Linked DNA regions of Danio rerio. The protein of the gene in region 2 binds, or shares a complex with, the protein of the main gene of each other region. Links are inferred from orthologs where the notes say so. Each region holds a gene or a part of one and is shown on either strand. Other genes may lie near its edges.

Region 1 (3,658 bases), on a different chromosome or scaffold from region 2:
ATATGTATTCAAAATTTGTCTAAAAATAGTTATTTATTTTATTTGTCATGAACTGGTAAAAATATAGACATCTGAACTACCAAACAGGAAAAAAAAAACATAATTGTTACCCTCACCGTGGCATCAATGGTACTTTTTTTTTTTAGAGTAACTAATTTATCAGCAACTTCCTCTAATTTCTTCTGTGTGATTATTTTTTTCTTCAAATATTTCTGCTATTATTATAAAGTACTATTTAATGGAAAGGACATATTTTTCAACACAATTTAAATTATAATATATAATATTAAATTTATATATAAGAAATATATAAGAAAAACTGAAATTATTTTTTGCTTTGTTAAATTTTAAAAAAAGAATTAAGATTTCACAGAAGGGCTAATTTTGTGTCCTCTACTATTACTATAGCAGTGTTTGAAAATTTTTTATTGATTTTGGAGAAAGTGAGCAATCGTATGATTGATTTGGGTCTCCAAAAACATGGAGCATTTTAATAATATACTGTAATAGTTATATATGTGTTCTATGTGCAGGTGTGTTTAATGGTGCTCAGCTTGGCCCATGTGATCTGATACTGCACCGTCTGCGCTTTGAGGAGGTAGATGCAGCTCTGGGAATTCTGGGTAATATGGACTGGGCTATTATGGGGGCAGAGTGTTACAGGTCACTCATCTCCATCACCGATCACCTGCTGAGAAAACCACTGGACCAGCAGACTGAAGGTAAAGACCCCAGACCTGCAGGCTTTGATTTCTGAATGGAGACTAAACCTAAACTTAATTAGTGTCAGGGAAAGTGTACAGTAATCTCAGCTTAGAATTAAATACGGTCTTTACTTGTGAAAATAACACCTTTTAAATCACATTATATGATCTGGTTCTGAATGTATTTGGCAAACAGGACAATTCAGCACATTAAAAACCAATGATAAATTATTTTATTTATTGAGAATTTACATTTATGGCCCCCAATAGTATTTTAGTATATCTGTTTTGTTGGTCACTTTTACTTTTTTTGTTAGTTCCCCAAAGGACAAGCTACTGACTATAAGTACATTTTTTAAGTACATTGCAACTTAGGTGATGAGGAGAGGTCCACGAGCTGTGATTGGCGAGTTGCCATTTAGTTTGAGACTTAGTTGTAAACTAAAAGTGGTCATCAAATACAGGTCTAACGATTATAAAAATATTAATTCCAACAACTCTATTGAATTGTAGCAGGCAGCATTATGACTATGGTGAGAAAAACAGGTCTTATTAAATATTTTGTATTTTTCATTGCCACATCTTGTGACTTGATGTGTTATGTTCATTCATATTTAAGCCAAAGTTCATCAGAGATGGTTTCAAGCAAATCTTTTCACTCACTTTTTTGCGATTTGCATGTTTGGTCAACATCGAGTTTATTTTGTAGCGTTCACATTTAATAAACTGAACTGCACTAACAGAGTAAATCCACAAGAGTTTGTTTTAATCAAACCAATCAAGAAACAATCCTGCCAAGTGTGAACACACACTTAAACTCACTGTGACATTACCTGGTGAAAAAATTCACTCAGAAGATTGGAGGAAGATTAGATTTGCAGACTCCACTGTAATATTTTGCATTTTAAGCAATGAAAACTGTTTGCAGCCACCGCTTGTACAAATTTAATACCTTTGTGTGTCATTACAGGCCAGCTGGAAGCAGCTCTGGGGGTGTTTTATGCGCCCTGTAGACCTCTCTCAAACACTGTCATTCTGGAGTACAGGGACCCCATCAGCAGATACGCTCGACGATTCTTCCATCACCTACTCAGGTACACACCTGTTCCATTGTGTTTCTCTTCACTTAAAAAAACTCATTAACAAAATAGTTCACACAGTACTGAAAAAATGTTGGTTATTTAACTCTCACTAAAACCATACAAGATGTAGGCCACTTTTTTTAGTAGAACATTTAAAGAAGATTTTAAGCTGAATTAAACAGCTAAGTGTATCAAAATAACACTTAATGTTTCATGAGGCAAAACACTTCTAAGGTTGACCTACAGACCTCAGATGGCATTAGTGTGAGTTTGGAGTAAACCATCCCTTTAAATGAAAATGAGCAGTTAGTCAGGTGTTCAGAAATGGCTGTATTTCTCTCTTCCAGACACCAGCGCTTTGAAAAAGCCTTCTTGCTGGCTGTAGATATCGGTGCTAGAGATCTGTTCATGGTGAGCACTTTCTTTTATACATGCACATACAATAAACACTAAATGGATTTGGAGATTTAAGCAACACGTTTAAATATAATAAGACCATTGCTTTAGAGTAATTTTCATCAGTCAAATCTTTATATAAAAATGCTCAAAGTTCTCTGTTTGCCGACAAGAACAATGCAAGTAAAGCTAACTTTTAAAACATTAAAGATTTTCCATTTTAAAATCTACATTACTTTTATATAAAATATACTATTACTTAAATATAAACTATAATGTTGTTGTATTTAAACTTTTATTTCAATAATGGTGATTATACATGGCTTTTATGTATTAGATATGTATTAAAGCAATTTACGTATTTAAAAAAGTTCAAAATTGCAGGCAGAGGGCATATTTAAAAAATTAAATTAAATTTATTTAAAAAAATTAATAATTTGTTAAAACAATACTACATATAATCAAAGCATTGACCTATGATGATCAATATTACAAATGTTATATAACTTCAAGTTGAATGAAAAATGTGTTTTAAACTGACTTTAAAGTGAGTTGGCATTGTGCACGATATCAGTGCAGTTACGGGTGGCTTCCGCCTGCAGAGAGCTTTGAGCTGGCTCTGTTATGGGCTGAGAGGCTCTGGGCAGGTGCAGCTCAGGGTTTGAGGCCCCTGGCCATGTCACGTCTCCTCTCTCCTACCATAACAAGAATCCCCGAGACTCCAGAGAGCAACAGTTGCTAAGCGAAAAAGGGAGGGGGTCGGAAGAAAAAGGGAGAGTGAGTGAGCCTGTCTTTCACAGCTCTCGTGGCCGGTGCACTATCTTTTCTCTCCTGCTCCTTTCTCACTCCTTTAAATGGTCCTGTGTGTGTGACCCCTTTTCTAGGCCTCCTCTCTCCATGCCCGAGTGACACCTTCCCTATTAGCGTTCACACCGGCCGCTGTCTCTCTCTTTCTCCCTGTCCTTTTTTCATGCAGTTCCTCTCTCTCCCTCCTTCTTTCACGCCGATCGCACTCGTTCCAATTCATTCCCCACTAAGTGCTGCTGCTGAGGGCCCCAATTGAAAAGGTGGAGCTCGAGCCACACAAGCCTGAAAGGGCAGAGAAGAGAGAGAGGGAGGGAGGGAGAAGGGCAAAGGAAACCTGGATCTGTTATTCTTGGGACATGCACTGGGAAAAGCAAAAAGAGAAAGGATGAGAGAGGCGAAAGTGGCAAATTATGAATGGCCCATGAATATCAGTGCTTCTGAATCAACAAAGAGCAGCCAGCGAGCGAGCAAGTGAGGTAAAGACAGAGAACTAGGGAAAGAGAGAGAGAGAGAAGGAGCTAAAGGCAGTGGCGTTTCACCCTGCGGTTTTGGCTCTTGGCTAATTAACCACAGAAGTTAAATTAAACCACCCACAGGAGAGAGGGAGAGAAAGAAAGAAAGAGAAAGGCAGAGAACGAGCGGGGGTCCTTGCTCCATCTGATCTGGTCC
Region 2 (3,758 bases):
ATGAACTCAAACTGATTTAAACCCCTTGAGTTCGAGTAAACAGTGAGTACATTTTCGGTAATGGGTGAACTATCTCTTTAAATGATCCGAAACATTACCAATAATAACATAAAGACACAAAGAATGCAACTCGGCCTGAACCATAGACCATTTTGAGAGATGTAAACAAACAATGGTCCCAATTAATGTATTTTCTGTTTTACATTTTAACTTAGCTTCTGAGAATCCAAGAGCCACATATTGGTTATGATGGCTGTTTTAACATTATAATTAAATTGCCTCTTGACCAATGACATGACCACATTGAAATGGTCTGCAGAGACAGTTCACCCAAATGTCTTAATTCTGTAATCATTTACTCAATGTCCTAGTGAAAAAAACAGCTTAAACCAGCCCAGGCTGGTTGGCTGGTTATAGCTGGTCGACCAGGCTGGTTTTAGAGGGGTTTTGGCCATTTCCAGGTTGGTTTCCAGCCATTTCCAACCTGGTCTTAGCTGGTCAGGCTGAGAGATGACCAGCTTGACCAGCCTAGCCAGGCTAGGAGCCCAGTTAAAACCAGCTATATTCAGCTTAAACCAGGCTGGTCAAGTTGGTTTTAGCTGGATTTAGCTGGTCATTTTCCAGCCTGACCAGCTAAAACCAGGCTGGAAATGGCCAAAATCCCTTTAAAACCAGCCAACCAGCCTAGGCTGGTTTAAGCTGAATTTTTCAGCAGGGTCACTTGATCTAAACTGGTTTGATTTCTTCTGTTCAGAACAAATGATTAGAAAGCTGGGATGAAAATTGCACGGACTGTGTTCAACATGACAGAAGCACAAATGGATTTGAAACCACTTGAGGTTGAGGAAACATGACTACACTTTTTATTATTGGGCGAACTATCCCTTTAATAAATTGAAACATTACCAATAATAACATAAAAAACACAAAAAAACTTGCCATAAAACCAAGAAAAATACTAACATGAATGAAGTTTTTTCTCCTTGCACACACTTGAAGTCTCCGGAAGATGGCGGAGTGGATCTTATTGTTACCCAAAAACTTTCATCGAGTTGCGAAGAAGAAGGAAGCGCTGTGGCTGTTGTTGTCAGAGATGTTGCTGTGGAGACGCTACATTTGCAACTTTATAATTCAGGTGAGACAAGACACAAATGTTTTTATTATTATGTTATTATGTTATTATTTCCTACTCAACGTATTTTAGCGAACGCTTATTAAATTTACACGATAAAATGCCTCAGTGTGGATTAGCAGATTAGTTTTGTATAACGTTTTGCATAATGAAGCATGCCAAATGTAATTCTGAATCGTGTGTTGTGTTTGCTCGTCCATTTTGCATGAAGACCAGATTTTCCCGTTTGGGTGAGGTGATTTTCTTTAAAGACTGACGTAAAGTTGGTTTTGAGCAATTCCAGCGTTATGGATGTGACATTTGCAGTAAAAACTCAACCCATAAATTGACAGAGAAAGTATATGTTAACATTTTATTGAAAAATTTGATTATATTTTCTAGAGCAACTAGCCACAAAGTTATGGGAGCAGAAAAATATCAATCTGTAAACGTGTTTTGTACTTTAAATGTGGAAAATAAGCATGCCTTATGGATGTGACAAAAAAAAGTCTGCGAGTTTACAGTATACAACACACTTTGTAGAAATTATGTGAATTAAACTGCACAACCCAAAAGAAATAATGCTAATCAAAAGGATTTGAGTCGGCTCTCTATAAAACAAAAATGATTGGTTTTATTTTATTTAATATTTTCACATTTCTGATGAAAAAGTGTTGTTATGGATGTGACATCTCTCTGTTATGGATGTGACGCATGTGAAATTACCATTTGTGTGACTTTGGTAAATCAAATAGTAATAGTTTGAAAACATTAACAGATGCTTTTTGAGTATTTTTAAAGTACTGTAAAATACTTGCCTACACAAAAAAACAGAAATGGTTTTCCGTATTTTGGTAAAAACTTAATTTTTTTTTCATGGCAAGGTTGACATTTGCACGGAATTGCTCTTTTACATTCACAAATTCGCTCAGTGACAACTTTTGACGTGCTCCTAATGTTTTCCATGGTACTTTGAATACTCGGTCTGACATAATATGCAAGTATGACTTCAAAACAACATTAGCAATATTTATTTAACTGTGAATTCACTATTGTAAGTTACTTTGTCTCTTGGTCATTGGCTGCTAATGATTTTTCAAGAGTAGTTTATAAAGTTATATTATCAAGGAGAAAGTCCAAATATGTGAATATAAATCCAACTTTGCCTTGACTTAAGTTTTAGTTAAAGGGATAGTTCACCACAGAGTTACATTTTACTCACTTTTTACCCTTCCTCAAATGGCTTTTTAAACCAGTTGATACCAGAAGTTTACATACACTGTATAAAAAGGCACTTTAGTCAGATGTCAATGTGAGTAATCTTTTTCTCTTTTCGTAAGTTAGGTTTATCATATTTGTTTCTGTTCTGCTTAATAGCAGAATTATAAGAGATATTTTTTGAGAAACTTTTTTTGAAAGTCAAGATTATATAAAATACGATTATTATGCCTCTAAAAAAGCTTAAAGGATGGTGTAAAGGTTTTTGGAGTTTCTGATTGGCTAGCTGACAACATTTGAGTTAATTGGAGGCACAACTGTAGAAACTGTAAACTTTTGACTGTCTAGAACAGGTGTGGGCAAACAGGATCCTGGAGGGCCAGTGTCCTGCATAGTTTAGCTCCAACCCTATTCAAACAGACCTCCCTGTAGAGTTCAAGTGATCTTGAAGACACTGATGAGTTTGTTCAGGTGTGTTTGACTAGTGTTGGAACAAAACTCTGCAGGGACACCGGCCCTCAAGGACCAAGTTTGCCCATCCCTGGTCTAGAAATTATAAAAAAAAATTCTTTACAAATTTTCTCTCATTATTCTGGCATTTAGCAAATGTAAATCATGTAGGTAATCCTAACGGACCTAAAATAGTAAACGTTTAGTATGATTTACCATCAGACATTGTTTTTTTAAATGGTTATGTTACTTTTTTTTTAAAGTGTAAGTAAACTTCTGGTTTCACCTGTAAATGTGAAATCATCAACAAAAACTTGAACCCCTTCTATGTTTACAAAAAAATCCGGAACGTCTTTGCCTGTGTGAACAGCGCTTTTTAGAATTTACCGGTAAAGTCGTTCTGGTAATTTTCCGGATATTTACCACTATCGCTGTGTGAAAGGGGCTAGGGACTTGCCTAATTACCCTAAGTTGCCCTTAACCTAGTTAAGCCTTTAAGCTGAATTAGAGCTGCACGATTCTGGATAAAATAAGAATCGCGATTTTTTTTGCTTAAAATAAAGATCACCATTTTCTCACGATTCTGTAGATGTAAAATAAAGGAATGGTAAAAACAGACATATGGCACAACATCGCTAATAATATTATGTGTAGGTCTACTGGTGTCTATAAATAATTCTATTCTACTTATAATAATTCTGACGTTGAATTATTATGTTTGAGATATATGCTTGCAATCTGTCATATTAGACTATTTAATTCACTGGTAAAATCAGACATTTGCCATCATCAGATTATATTCAGCAATATATAAGCTAGAGTAGTTATACTGACATTGTAAACATTTATTTTCATGCACAACTGTGTGTTCGCTATGAAAGAAAACACATCAAATGCTTGTCGTAATCATAACTCTAAAATGCGATGTGATCATTTAAATGAAGTGCACACTTTCGGTTTCATTCTGACTGCTAAGTGC

Evidence for each region. Proteins that work in one complex are often made in the same cells at the same time.
Region 1: the proteins of fuz (region 2) and wdpcp are in contact, whole or in part, in a cryo-EM structure (PDB 7Q3D), measured with the Homo sapiens proteins. The link is inferred for Danio rerio from reciprocal best matches to the Homo sapiens genes FUZ and WDPCP. Residues at the interface, in NP_079405.2 of Homo sapiens: His293, Glu372, Glu373, Pro374, Arg379, Gln397, Pro399, Thr400, His401, Gly402, Ser405, Leu406; in NP_056994.3 of Homo sapiens: Arg55, Ile57, Asn75, Lys78, Leu82, Glu418, Asp419, Arg420, Leu421.

The regions. Positions count from the first base shown.
Region 1 is NC_133192.1:25,690,842-25,694,499, reverse strand, and holds part of wdpcp (WD repeat-containing and planar cell polarity effector protein fritz homolog), read left to right. Parts: intron 1-533; coding exon 534-722; intron 723-1,674; coding exon 1,675-1,798; intron 1,799-2,133; coding exon 2,134-2,197; intron 2,198-3,658. UniProt on the Homo sapiens protein: Probable effector of the planar cell polarity signaling pathway which regulates the septin cytoskeleton in both ciliogenesis and collective cell movements.
Region 2 is NC_133177.1:3,682,468-3,686,225, forward strand, and holds the start of fuz (protein fuzzy homolog), read left to right. Parts: upstream 1-1,054; 5' UTR 1,055-1,135; intron 1,136-3,758. UniProt on the Homo sapiens protein: Probable planar cell polarity effector involved in cilium biogenesis. May regulate protein and membrane transport to the cilium.